Drosophila melanogaster: one gene and its partner. The protein of the gene in region 2 purifies or fractionates together with the protein of the main gene of each other region. This does not show direct contact. Each region holds a gene or a part of one and is shown on either strand. Other genes may lie near its edges.

Region 1 (6,632 bases), on a different chromosome or scaffold from region 2:
GGTATAACGTTGAGCGGAAATTAAAATATATCTATTAAGTTTCACAAATTTTGTCTTAAGTAAAAACAACACAAAATTCGTATTAAACGAGCGGTGTGTGATTTATCGTTGATCTGGCAACCCTGCTCCGACGTGTTGGAATGGTACGGGTGGCTGCGGGGGACGAGTCGGCCTATTGTGTTTGATGGCAATCCACAAAGCTCACACACACGTTTAAACCAAAACGATATAGGGCCGAGCACTTCAAGTAATCGAGTTTTTTCCGTCTAATTAATCTCGGCGCAGCGATGTTTTGGCCAACAAAATGACACGGCTCTTTGTCGGAATTCACTTATGCAGCAGCGGCAGGGTTGTCAGAGCTCGAAAAACGGTGAAGAAATAAACACACTTTTTCTAGTTGTTTCGCATAAATGGGGGGCGGCAAAGGGGTGCAGGGCCTTTGATTGGTGGTCATTTTTCATTTGGATGACCTTAATTTGCATGTGATAATGCTGATTAGTGCAGCCGCGTTATCGGCACGGTAATCGTTATCGCCAGAGTTGCAAGCGCCCGCCCATCGACAGCCCGCCAAAGCTTTCGAATTTGAAAATGTGTGGACATATTTTAAAAGTGCGATTCTAAGGATCGCATGGTTAATATTTTAGATCTAAATTTTCTATCTCAAAAAAAAAAAAAATGGTACAACATTCATACACAACTACACCGGCAGCATCTTCGAGTGAGAGTTTCCGGCCAAAAAAAAAAAAAAAAAGAATAACTAAAACAAAAACGCACTCACAAGAAGAGGAATGTTTCTCCTCCACCCAATACTCGCAATAATTTTCGATTAGCTTCTATATGCCGCGCCACGATTTTTTATTCTGTTATATTTTTACTTTGTGCCAACAGAAATTTATCACCACCGCGCGAGAGAGCGAGAACACACACGCACACACACAGCCAGAGTGCGCTCTCTTTCGCTCTGCCGCCGAGGTGCATAGGCGAGAACGACCGACAGACGCGACTAGCGGTCGGACCGACCGACCGAACGACCGTCGCTATCGCCGTCCCCCTCTCGCTCGTAGGTTTGTATCGGGGAGTTGTTGCTTACACGCACTCGCACACATACTTTTGCACACTGGCGCCTCGTCACTGTTGTTGCATTGCTGTCGTCCACTCCTGCGCTTCTTCTTCTCTTGTTCGACTCGCTTCTCTTCGGATTTTACTTTGCTGCCGAGCAATAACAACACAACACTACCGTTCTCAAAGTTCGAATGATTTGATGCCGTTCTGTGTTTTTTTGGTGTGGCCGAGAAGCGCCAAATCAGTGGGGCCGTATCGCGGCGATTCGGAAAAGCCGAGCGAAGGGGTCACGATAAATGGATTTGTGGTTGAATTAACTGAGTTTGTAATAATTGATGTCAAATATTTACTTACCTTGTTAGGGGATTTATATGTATGCTGCACATTTAATCTTGAATGCCATTAGTTCATTAGTTTGGTATAATCCATAACATTCACTTAAAATGTTATATCGTTAATCTTTGATCCAAATAAACAGAATCACAACTACAGTATTCCCTCCAATGCTAATAAGTTTATAAGTTTCAGTTACTATTATCCATAAGGTACCATAAACACGATTGCAGCACTTTGGGTGGTGATTAGTACTACTATTACGTTTAAAATAAACTACGCAGGGTTTGACATGCAAGTTGTAAACATTTGACTCGGAGTTCAAGATAACGCTATAAAATTACTTAATCAGGGTCCACTGTACTCTATCGATAGCGATAACTGACCACCTACACAGACATTTATTGTTATCGACCAACGAACACATGTTCACTCCGATTTGGCGCGTAAACAAGTAAATAAATAGTATTATTAAGAATAATGCCGGAGAGCCTGATCGCCGGCATTCCGGTGCACTTTCCGTTCGAGCCGTACCCGGTTCAACGGGCGTACATGGAGAAGGTGATCCATTGTCTCCGCGATGGCACGAATGGAGTCCTGGAATCGCCAACCGGCACGGGCAAGACCCTAAGCTTGCTGTGCTCATCCTTGGCCTGGATCCGCACCAGGCAATCGGAGCACCAAAAGCAGATGGTTAAGATGGAGAAGGCAGATTTTTCGGGTCTTGGAGGCGGAGCACCTGGGGGAGACCTGTCCGAGCTGGCCAAGACCATGGGTCGTGCGAATAACTGGGGCGTGCCCAAGGTCATCTACGCCTCGCGCACCCACTCCCAATTGACGCAGGCGATGCGGGAACTCAAGAGGACAGCGTACGCTAACATGAGATCCGTGGTTCTGGGCTCCCGCGATCAGCTATGCATTCATCCGGAGGTCATGCGGGAGCAGGGCAACTCCAACAAGACCAACATGTGCAAGCTACGGGTGCACTCCAAGACCTGTTCATTTCAAATGCGCGTTGAGTCGCGAAAGGATCATCCCGATTTGCGCGGACCCACCATCATGGACATTGAGGACCTGGTCAAGGTGGGCCAGCGACTCAAGATCTGTCCCTACTTCGCGTCTCGGGAGTTGGTTCCCCAGGCGGATATCACCTTCATGCCCTACAATTATCTACTCGATCCCAAGGCTCGCAAGGCCAACAAAATCGAACTGGGCAACACTATTGTGATCCTGGATGAGGCCCACAACATCGAGAAGATCTGCGAGGAGTCCGCTTCGGTGCAGATTAAGTCCTCTGATGTGGCCATGGCCATCGAGGACGTCACGCATATCATGCAAGTCTTTGCGAGCGGCGAGTCGCAGGATATGGCTGGAGATGAGCCAAAGGACTTCACACTGGACGACCTTACACTGCTCAAGGAGATGCTGCTCGAGCTCGAAAAGGCCATCGATGCCATCGTTGTGGACAACGCCGTCGATGGAACTACCTTTCCCGCCTCCATGATGTACGAACTGCTTGGCAAGGCGAATGTAAGATGCACTAAATCTTATCGGAAATGTTTTTAAAAGAATGCCTATTTAAAAATGTAACTTCCTTTATTGTAGTTCACCTACGGCAACGTTGCAACGATAGTATCCCTGCTGGACAAACTGGTGCAATACCTCCTAGTGGCCTCCCAGCAGATGAGCATCCGCAAGGGCGGCACCTTCACGTTGCTTAGCGATCTACTGACCATTGTGTTTGCCAACAAGGAGGATGTGATGAGCAAGGTGTACGCAAGCTTCAAAGTGCATGTCCTGGTGGAGGAGTCCAAGCAGGGACACGGTAAGCAGCAGGGTGCTAAACAGCAGGGCGGTTGGCTTGGCAAGGGAACGATTGCAGCAGCGACTGGCTTAAGCAAGGTCGCAAAAATCATTAACTTCTGGTGCTTCAATCCTGGCTTCGGAATGGAGCAACTGCTCAACACCCAAGTGCGCAGCGTAATCCTGACCAGCGGCACACTAGCTCCCCTCAAGCCGCTAATCGCCGAGCTTGCCATTCCGGTGGCCCAGCATCTGGAGAATCCGCACATCGTCGACCAGTCGCAGGTTTATGTCAAGATCATCGGCACCGGACCCGATCGGCAGCAACTGATATCGAACTATGCGAACCGGTAAGCATTTTTCACACCACAAGCTTATTTGTTTATGGCCAATACCATGAGTAAATAAACAAGTTGGGCCAAACATAACTCAGTTCTGTGGCAGGTGAACTATCTCATAACATTACGAAATGCCAACGTATCAATTTCTTAATGTTATACAAACTAAACAAACATGTTTTATCTGCCACCTTTGTTCTTCTGCAGTGATAATCCAAAGTACATCAGCTCCCTGGGACAGACGATTCTGAATGTAGCGCGTATAGTGCCCGACGGCCTCCTTGTCTTTTTCCCATCGTATCCCATGTTGAACAAGTGCGTGGACGCGTGGCAGGCCAGTGGTTTGTGGGCGGACATATCGTGCAAGAAACCGATTTTTCTGGAGCCGCGCAGCAAGGACCAGTTCACCAGCACGATGGAAGAGTTCTACCAGGCGATACGCGACTCCAAGGGTGCCGTATTCATGGCTGTTTGTCGCGGCAAAGTCTCCGAAGGTCTGGACTTTGCTGATCGCAATGGCCGCGCGGTGATTATTACTGGTCTGCCATTCCCACCGCTAAAGGATCCCAAGGTGATACTGAAACGTCGCTACCTGGAGGCGAATCGGACTCGTGAGAATCAGCTGTTAAGTGGGCAGGAATGGTACAATCTAGATGCCACGAGGGCAGTCAATCAAGCCATCGGTCGTGTGATTCGGCATCGCAACGATTATGGTGCCATTCTGCTTTGCGACTCGCGATTTAAGGACGCCTCACAGGTCCAGCAGCTATCCAAATGGATTCGGGGTCACCTGGGCGACCGGCCACAGTGCTCACCCTTTGGTCCTATCGTCCGGGAACTGCGTCAGTTCTTTAAGAACGCCGAAGCGAATGTAAGCTCATGATGTTTATGCGTTTTTCAGCAATTGTAATACAATTCTTTCAAAACTTCAGATGAAACTACCGGATGAAAGGGAAACCGATTCGCCTTTGGAAACCGTCTGCAAGACAGAGGATGAACCACTAGCCGCCATTCCAAAAGTGAAACGGGAGCCTGGCTCCAATGCCACCTTCAAATCAGCCAATGAATCCGCAATGTACGTAACCTGCGATCTAAGATCAACCTTATCAGCTGTATAGATTGTATTACAATTATTAATAGCAAATCCTTAATCGGATTTAAGTAGTCTTGAGTACAATTTTTGAGATTTGTCATAGCTAAAGTGAAATGCTGTAAGCCATTTCCAGTGGCCTTTTGTCATCACTGCCAGGGTAAATAAACTTTCGTTTGCCTTTCTCCTGGTATTGACACTTTGAAATATTTATTATTTTTCTTTGTAGCAAAGTGGAGATGGCCAATTCCATCAAGACATGGACACCCGCCGATTATGCGAGTGCCGCTGGACATAAATTGGGTGGTGCGGCGCCGAATGCCATGGACTTTATGAGTCGACTGGACTCAAATGTCTCGGTAAACACGAGATTCCCATGAATCTATTATTACACTGTGTTTATTTAGTTCTTTAGGACTTGTTCTTGTTTTGCCCCTTTCCCAGAGTATCGATTTCAACTGCTGCACAGATAGTAAAAGTGGCTCCTCTGGTCTGGTGAAGATTCACAAGCGGGAGCGAAGCTCACCAACGGCGCCGGAATCCTCCAGCCAGGTGACCAAAAAGCGATACAAGTTGGTGGAGAACATCAAGGTGGAGCCAAGTAGTTCGCAGGCTAAGGAGGCACCCGAGGAAAGGGCCGCGTTTCTCCGGGAGGTGAGATACCTTCGAGACTTCTTCCATACTACTACTACTACTACTAATTAATTTACCTTGAATTGCAGCTACGCAGCCTGGTCACCCAAGATCAATTCCGCCGCTTTGGCAAGGCGCTGCTGGAGTACAAGAATGGCACCTATGAGAGCTTTCAGGCCCTGATGGCCATACTCCTGGATGTCCTGTCCGCACCCAAAGTGCGCTACATGCTCGTCGGGATGCGGAAGTATCTAAAGAACGAGCACAAGGACGAGTTTGATCGTAGGGTGGGCAATCTTTAACAAAGGGTTAGGTGACTATGTAAAAGAGTTTTCAAGTTTAGTCGTCCCAAGGATATGTTATTTTTTTTTTTTCAAATTTATTGACATTGGCTGTAATTTTCTGATTGTATTTAGTGGGGCGCGTCTAATTCTCCTAAGAATATATATTATTAACAATGCTATGCATTGTTGTACATGCATTTTGAATTTCTCTGTACGGATGTTTATTACTATTAAAAATTATACGTTAATCATGATATTGTTTATAGCTTTGTGGGAAAATGTGGGGTCATATTAAATGCAAATGCAGTTACTCAAAACCGTTTGCATTATGTGCATTATGTTTTCCCAATCTGTTTATTTATTTACCGCTCAAGGTTGACTTAAATCAACAGTCTACCTTTATTGGAAATTTAATACCACTTTTATGTGCATCAAACTTCGATTTCGTTTGCTGATAAGCTGATGAGCTTTAATAAGCTTTCAATCAAATCAAAGGCGAATAGAACAGGGTGCTCGAAAACTCTTCAAATCTTACATATCGTATTTAAATATGAACTCAATTTGTATAATAATATATATATATGTACAATATATGTTTATTTTATATATTTTTAAGCATGATAAATAGATAAGATATCATAGGAAATTGACTAATGCTAAGACTTTTAAGTTCTTGTCTTAAAAACATAAAATTACTTTTTTGTAGACTGCTTACATATATGTTTTTCACATTTATTTTTTAATCTACCGCTTGGGGGGCATACATTTTAGAGTTGGCAGCCCGCTTGGTAACAAATCTGCGAACCGCAGCCAGCGCAGAACGCATCCAATAAGTTCATTGCCAAACGGGCCGAGTCCCTATATGCACATCCACACATGCCCATCGGCTGGCGCGACCGAGTCACCGAGAAAACTGAGCCCGAGTGCAACGAGAATGCGGGTCCGAGTGGCTCCGACTTCGGACTTGGGAAGGCACTCGCGTGGCAACAATCGTCCAGGGCGCACGGCAAACACGCAGAGCTGCCGGAGGAGATAGGCCGCTGCTTCTTGGGGGCCACATTCGTACCCCGATCCAAATCCAGACCCGCT
Region 2 (6,758 bases):
GTAGGCCCATTCACCGTCGCGACAGCCGAGTGATTGGACAATCTGGGTCTGGTGAGCGGCTCTGAAAATATGGCATATGATATATATCGCATTATCAAAATTCCTAATAATTGTATTTCAACCTTGATGCATGATCGGTGGAATTAGTTTGGACGGTGTTGGCTACAAAGCGTCGCCTTCCGGTCACGAAAATTGCAGTTACTCATTGACAAAATGCACTTAAATAAATATTGAAATGCCAGATTGCAGCATGCGATTCACATGAAGTTCCCAAATAATTGCCATGGCTGGATTTTATAAATGTAGATGGCATACCATTTTTATGGGAATCTCATCTCATGTTTTGTTCTAATTTGTCAGGGTTTGTTTAATGACATTTTTATTTATGTTGACAATGCGTGAATTTCATTTGATTTTTACTACTCTAATCGCTTTTGTCTAAGGAATTACGCATCCCACTTAAAAATGGGGGGAGCTATAAAATCCAAACTGGAATTTAAGCCATCTGACACATTGCTGAACCTGCATATCGATTCGGTATGCAAAATTCACGGATCCTCCCATTTTGCCGACGGCAAATAGTAAAAATGTAGCGAGATGTTTTTGTAAAGATTTTTCTTTTATTTGTTTTTTTTTCGTGGATTTTTTGTGGATTTTGTTTTTATTATTTCCAGGTGCTTGGCAATGTTTTGTTGGATTTGTTTGTTTTCGCTGCCTTGCGCCATGTTTCACAATCACGTTTGCACGCTGCTTCTTGGTTTGTTTTTACTAAATTTGCTTTAGGTTTACTAACATTTTCTCTGGTTGTGTTTGTATTATGCAGTAGATGCTTGCCTTCGATTCGATTTATGTTTTAATAATAATAATAATTTTGTTTTCGCTTTATTACAATTAATTATGGTTGTCTTGTCTGGTATTTGTAAGCATAATTAATAATTAAATTGTTTATATAATAGATAATAATTATAATTACTTAATGCATAAGAGAATTTATAAAATAGAATGTTTTTTGACATTTTTCTTTGCTTTTCTGAAATATTTTCATCGCCTCGCCACAACTGCCTTTACTCCTACTAAACTTGTGCTTGATTCCGCGTCCCGTTGCTCCCTTCAATTGAACGCACATTTAATGTCTGAGAATGTTTTGTACAGCAAAAGGTGAGTGGAAATGAAATGCTAAACCAAACGAATTTGTTGTTGTTGCCGTTGTCCCCGTAATTGGCAACAGTTTATTTGTATCACACAATTGTTTTAGCTATGCAACAAGCGGGAAATCAAGGGAAATCGAAGCAGAACGGTATGGAATGCAAGTGAGTTGTCATCTTACTATTGTGGTACAACAGTGCGTATGCATCATTTAAATGACTAAACATTAATCCTATTCTCATTTATTTATATGCGCATGTGTTACTCTGCCACTTCGAAATTCGAATTAAACCTGCTTAAGAACTAAGGCTAAAATTGTGTCTGTGTGTGTGTGGCTGTGGTTGTGGGCGTGGGTGTGCGTATCCTAGGGCTTTAGTTAATATTTTCAATAATTTACAATGTGGATATATCCAGGAGGCCAGCACTGGCAGCCACCGCTGCCTCGTGGCCAGGATGATAGTGATGGTACAGCTGGTGTTGCTGCTGCTGCGGGAGGTGCTGCAGCTGCTGCTGTTGCTGCTGCTGCTGCTGGTAGTGTTGCTGTTGCTGCTGCTGGTAGTGCAGGTGGTGGTGCTGCTGCTGCTCCTCGAGATGCTGCTGTTGCATGTCCAGCATGCTGGCCGAGGCGGCAAAGGAGCTGCCTGCAGCCGCAGCAGCAGCAACGGCAGCAGCAGTTGCCGCCGCAGCAGCAGCCGAAGTGGCGGAGGAGGTGGCAGCGGAGGGGGTCAGCTGGTAGGCGGCTGCCAAGGCGGGTGAATGCGCGGCGGTATGGCCACTGGAATGCGCCGAGGAGCGGCCGCCCGACGACCCCGATGCCGTCGGACTAGGCCGTCCGTTGAGCAACTGTTGCTGCTGTTGTTGCTGCTGCTGCTGTTGCTGCGGGGCCGTCGGCATGTACGGCGGCAGTGGAGGCGAAACGCTCACACTGGAGCCTGCTGCTCCATAGGCGCTGGCCATTTCTCACATGTGTGCCAGCGGCGCCATCGCCCTCAGCGATTGCTGATGCTGCAGGTGGTGTTGCTGCTGCTGCTGCTGCATGGTATGGTGTTGCTGCGGGATCTGTTGGTGCTGCTGCGAAAGGTGTTGCTGCGGGAGGTGCTGCTGCTGCTGTTGCATCGACTGGTGCTGCTGCTGCAGATCGGGCGAGTCAGTCTGATAGTGCAGCAGGTGGCGCTGCTCATCCGGCAGATGGTACATATTCATCAGGTGATTCAGCTCGCCGCCGCCGGCGGCTGCTGCCGCTGCTGCTGCTGCTGCTGCCGCCGCTGCAGAGCTGTATTCCCGCTTCATGATGTGATTGTTGTTGATGTTGTTGTTGTTGTTGAGCGCTATGGCACTGGGACTGGGCGACACCGGTTCGGACTTGATGCTCGAGTCGCTGGGGCTGTGGCTCTGGCAGGAAACCTGACCGCCACCGCCTCCACCTCCGCCGTACGGAGTCGGACTGCCGGGCTGCTGCTGCAAGCTACTGCCGCCATACGGCGACGGTGATCCGGGCTGCTGGAGACTGCTGCCGTACGGCGATGTCTGTCCGCCGGACACCGTCTGGTACATCGCATACCCGTTGTTGTACATGTGTCCCATGTCGTACCGCTGCGCCGCGTAGTGCTGGCCCATGTAGGAGGTCTGATAGGCTGCCGCTCCGGCCGGATCTGCGTGCATCATGTAGCCATTGGGCATGTATCCATTGGGCGCGTTCATCTGGTACATATCCTGGCGCGCCTGTTGCGCTGCCGCTGCTGCCGCCGCCGCTGCCGCTGCTGCACTGCCTCCACTACCGTTTAGCGACTGGTTCTGGCCAGGCTGACCTTGCACCCGCGTGGGCGTCACCGGCTCACCCGGTGCTCCGCCGCCCACCGTCTGTCCGGGCATCAGGCCGCCCATTGGGTACTTCTCCTTGGTCTTGGTCAGCGTTTTAGTCTTGCGGCGCGGCCGGTACTTGTAGTCCGGATGCTCCTTCATGTGCACCGCCCTCAGGCGCTTGGCCTCGTCGATGAACGGTCGCTTCTCCGATTCCGAGAGGTCCTTCCACTGGGCGCCCAGTCGCTTCGAGATCTCCGAGTTGTGCATCTTGGGGTTGTCCGAGGCCATCTTCCTCCGCTGGCCCCGTGACCAAACCATGAACGCATTCATAGGCCGCTTCACACGATCCGCGTGCTGTTGGTTCTTGTTGGCCGTGGCGCTGTTGTTGTTGTTGTTGCTGGATCCTCCAGTTAGGCTGCTCAATGCAGATCCCGCGCCCAGATGCTGCTGCTGCCCGTGCTGCTGCTGTTGCGTGTGCTGCTGGTGGCTGACCGGCGATGTCATGTGATGGCTTCCGATGCTGCTCTGGGTGGGACTCAATTCGCTGGAGCTGTGCAGCGGGGAGCTCTGCTGCTGCTGCTGTTGCTGCTGCTGCTGCCCCACCTGGCTGCCATTGAGGGTGTTCGCCATCGAGGACTGCAGCGAGCTCAGCGGATTGGGACTCTGGCTGGCCGCGATATGGGCGCTCATGTGGTGATGATGGTGGTTGTGATGGCTCAGCTGCGAGTGGGTCAGGTGCGACTGGCCCAGGTTCATAAGGGGAGCTAGGGCGGAGTACGGCGATGCCGCATGTCCGTGCAACGCGGCACTTGTGTGATGCGGCGGCATGGTGGCATGCAGCAGGCTGCCTTTCATATCCGATTCCATGGTCAGCATCTTGCGGGGATTACTTCCAGTTTTCGGTGCGATAAAGCTGATTTGACTCAAAGTTGGTTCTCCGTGGATACTCGCCTCTAAGATGCAGTTACTCTTTAGCTTTAGTTTACTCTTTGCTTAGTTAGACATTTTGAACATTTTTTGGGAAACCATGTTGCACTTGTGATTTTTGAGATTTTGATTTTCGCTGCAGTTTTTATTTCGTAGTTTTTCGTATCTTTACGCGTATCAAAAATGTGGCGCTCGGCTATCTTTGGATTTGTAGCTAAACAGCTTGAATTGCGTTTTTTCCACAGTCACAAATATCAGATATACATATATGTTGTTTGCTAGCAAACAAACAAGAGGCGGCGTAAAACACTTGAAAATTGTTGCTAAAACCCGACGCGAAATTGCCTCAGAATATTGTTGTTGTTTGTATTAGATTTTGTTGTAAATATATTTGGTTTGGTTTGGTTGTTGTTTTTTTTTTTCGTATGCGAGAAGCGGGAACACCGAAAAAATACCTCCACACTGGGCGGAATTGAGCACCTTTCTGTTTCTCCGGACGACGGCGAAACCTGTTCGAGGTGCGTTCTACGCTGCTTTTTCCCTGGCTGTATGATGACTTTTTTTTCTTTCTTTCGTATCACCGCTTTTTGGCTAGCTGATGACGAGGCACGAACCAGAACCACCGATGCGATGCGATGCGAAACGATACGGATACGATACGACACGAAACCGAATTCGAGACAGCGAACAACCGAGTTGATGTTGCTGCGTGATGTTGCTGCTGATGGCGTGCTGCGACTGCCGTGCGGTACGTTGCGTGCGCGTGTGCTGACGACGGCGAATGCGAGAGTCGAATGAGAGACCGTCTGCCGCTGGCCGCTCGAGGAGGCGGTAAATGCGGTGCGGTCCGCCAGACAGGGTGGCTGGAAAAACTGGTCTTGAGTCGCGAGTAGCTGTGTGTGCGTCGCTGCTGTCCAAGTGTGCGTCGGCATTTCCATTGCCCGTCGCCTGTGCGGGAGCGAGATGAATATACGAGTGGCTGGCCTGCTAATAAATCAAATAAACTCGCTGCTGTGCATGTGTGCATCTGTGTGCGGTGAGCGCTGGCTGGGTTGGATTTTGCGCACACTGCTCCGCCAATCAGAGGACGGTGAGAGCGGTACGAATGTATCTTTATCTCGTTCCGTCACTATATCGATCCGCGTTGCGCTCAACGCTGCCATAAAAATGTCGTCTCTGCGTTTATGGCAAGCGCTGTTGCCGCTTTTCCGCTGCCGAAAGAGACTCTGAAGGAATTTCTCGTATAAATTTCGAGCTTTAAACATGGCCGAAACGCTATGGACGGGGGGAGCTGGAGCGGGCCATGGGTACTCTCAACCCAGTCCAGGGATCCAGGGACCCAGGGGCCTTAGTGTTTGCGGCGTTTTCGCCGTTAGAGCGCGTCTCACGCGCATAGTTTTTCCTGGTTTCCTTTTTTATTTTTTTTTTTGGCCCTGCTATATGTACATACAAAAAGATATATAATATAGATATATATATATATATATGTATGTATAGTCACTCTGCGTCTTACGCTGCGCTTCTTATTAACCTAATGGGTTTGCCAAGGTAGCTCACGAATAATTGTGTAGGCAGGCAGTCGGCAGATGGAAAAATTTATTAAGCAAGTGCAGCTGCAAATGTATCCTGCTCTCGCGGTAGTCGGCAGTTGTATCTCAGAACTTTGATGCGGTTTGGCTTACACGTATCACGTATCCGCCACATGAGCCAGCCCGTCCTACGGCATTGTCTTAGGGCACCATCTGCCCCACCACGACACCCCCCTTTAATTTACCACCCCGCGATGAATGCGTTTTTCCTCAGCTGACTCTGGTATTCCGTTTTTTGGGTTGCCCATGAGTAAATGTTGGGCTCTTTTTTTTTGTGCGACTTTTAGCAGTGCAAAGTGATTGGATTGCAGTTCTCAGCTGGTGAGAACTACTCACCAACTTGCAGTGCAGGTGGAAGTCGATTAATTGAAGATTTTTTGCACACTCGAAGAGCAAAACCAAGATTTATGGGCTTTTCTAAAAGTTATATTAATTATAAATTGTGTGTTAAATAAAAAAAATACCATTGTGGCTAAAATAAAACATACTTTTGCATCCGTAAACTACGAATAATATAGAAGACCATTTTTGTTCTTGAATAAATAAAATACAAATTATATGAAAAACTGCATTTCCTCGATAAATAATATATATACATTTTCTCCCTTTAAAGCACAATCAAAATTTCTTTTGTACAACTCCTTAAGCATCGTCTCCAAATTTCCTGCAAAGTCATCAAACACTTGAATCGAGCTACTAACCCATTAAAAATGTATAATGCAAACAAAGCCGATATGTGGGCTCGTCGGCTTAATGAATTTATGGCCAATTGCTAAACATTTGACAATGGAGCGAAAACACTGGGGCAAGCGGGCACAATAATAAAGGCAAGACCGGCAAACAATGCAAAACCTGCCCCAGTAACTGACCTACAACAACGCAACATCATAACATCAAAAACAACAAGAACGCAAATCTTAACCGCAAAAAGTTGGCCAAAGAAAAGGAATAAGTCAAAGTCGTTGTTGATTCTATGGGGGCTATTGTGTAATTTCAAATACAAAATGCAGAAAAAGAAATACAATTCTGTTCGGTTCATTATCAATGTACTTGGCCTGCCTGTTTGTTTTGTTATTGTATGAGTACGAGTACAAGTACGAGGCATTGATTCTTTTGATGGGAAGACTGTTGCTCCGCAAAAAGTATTTTGCTGAAAATGGGAAAACAAGCCAAAACCCGAAAAACCAAACAGAACCAGACTTATACTCAGACTCATACTCGGATTGCGATTCTGATTCTGACTCCGATTCTGATTCGGATCCAGAATGAGCGACGAGTAGACACTCAGACGGC

Evidence for each region.
Region 1: the proteins of SoxN (region 2) and Rtel1 purify together in Drosophila melanogaster (affinity purification with mass spectrometry, with the first as the bait; one large-scale study listed by BioGRID). This does not show direct contact.

Annotation. Positions count from the first base shown.
Region 1 is NC_004354.4:5,745,994-5,752,625, forward strand, and holds Rtel1 (regulator of telomere elongation helicase 1), read left to right. Parts: upstream 1-1,753; 5' UTR 1,754-1,875; coding exon 1,876-2,925; intron 2,926-3,000; coding exon 3,001-3,548; intron 3,549-3,743; coding exon 3,744-4,407; intron 4,408-4,468; coding exon 4,469-4,611; intron 4,612-4,855; coding exon 4,856-4,985; intron 4,986-5,070; coding exon 5,071-5,280; intron 5,281-5,348; coding exon 5,349-5,561; 3' UTR 5,562-6,084; downstream 6,085-6,632. UniProt on the Drosophila melanogaster protein: A probable ATP-dependent DNA helicase implicated in DNA repair and the maintenance of genomic stability. Acts as an anti-recombinase to counteract toxic recombination and limit crossover during meiosis.
Region 2 is NT_033779.5:8,823,561-8,830,318, reverse strand, and holds SoxN (SoxNeuro), read right to left. Parts: upstream 4,675-6,758; 5' UTR 3,826-4,674; coding exon 2,107-3,825; coding exon of another isoform or gene 1,540-2,106; 3' UTR 649-1,539; downstream 1-648.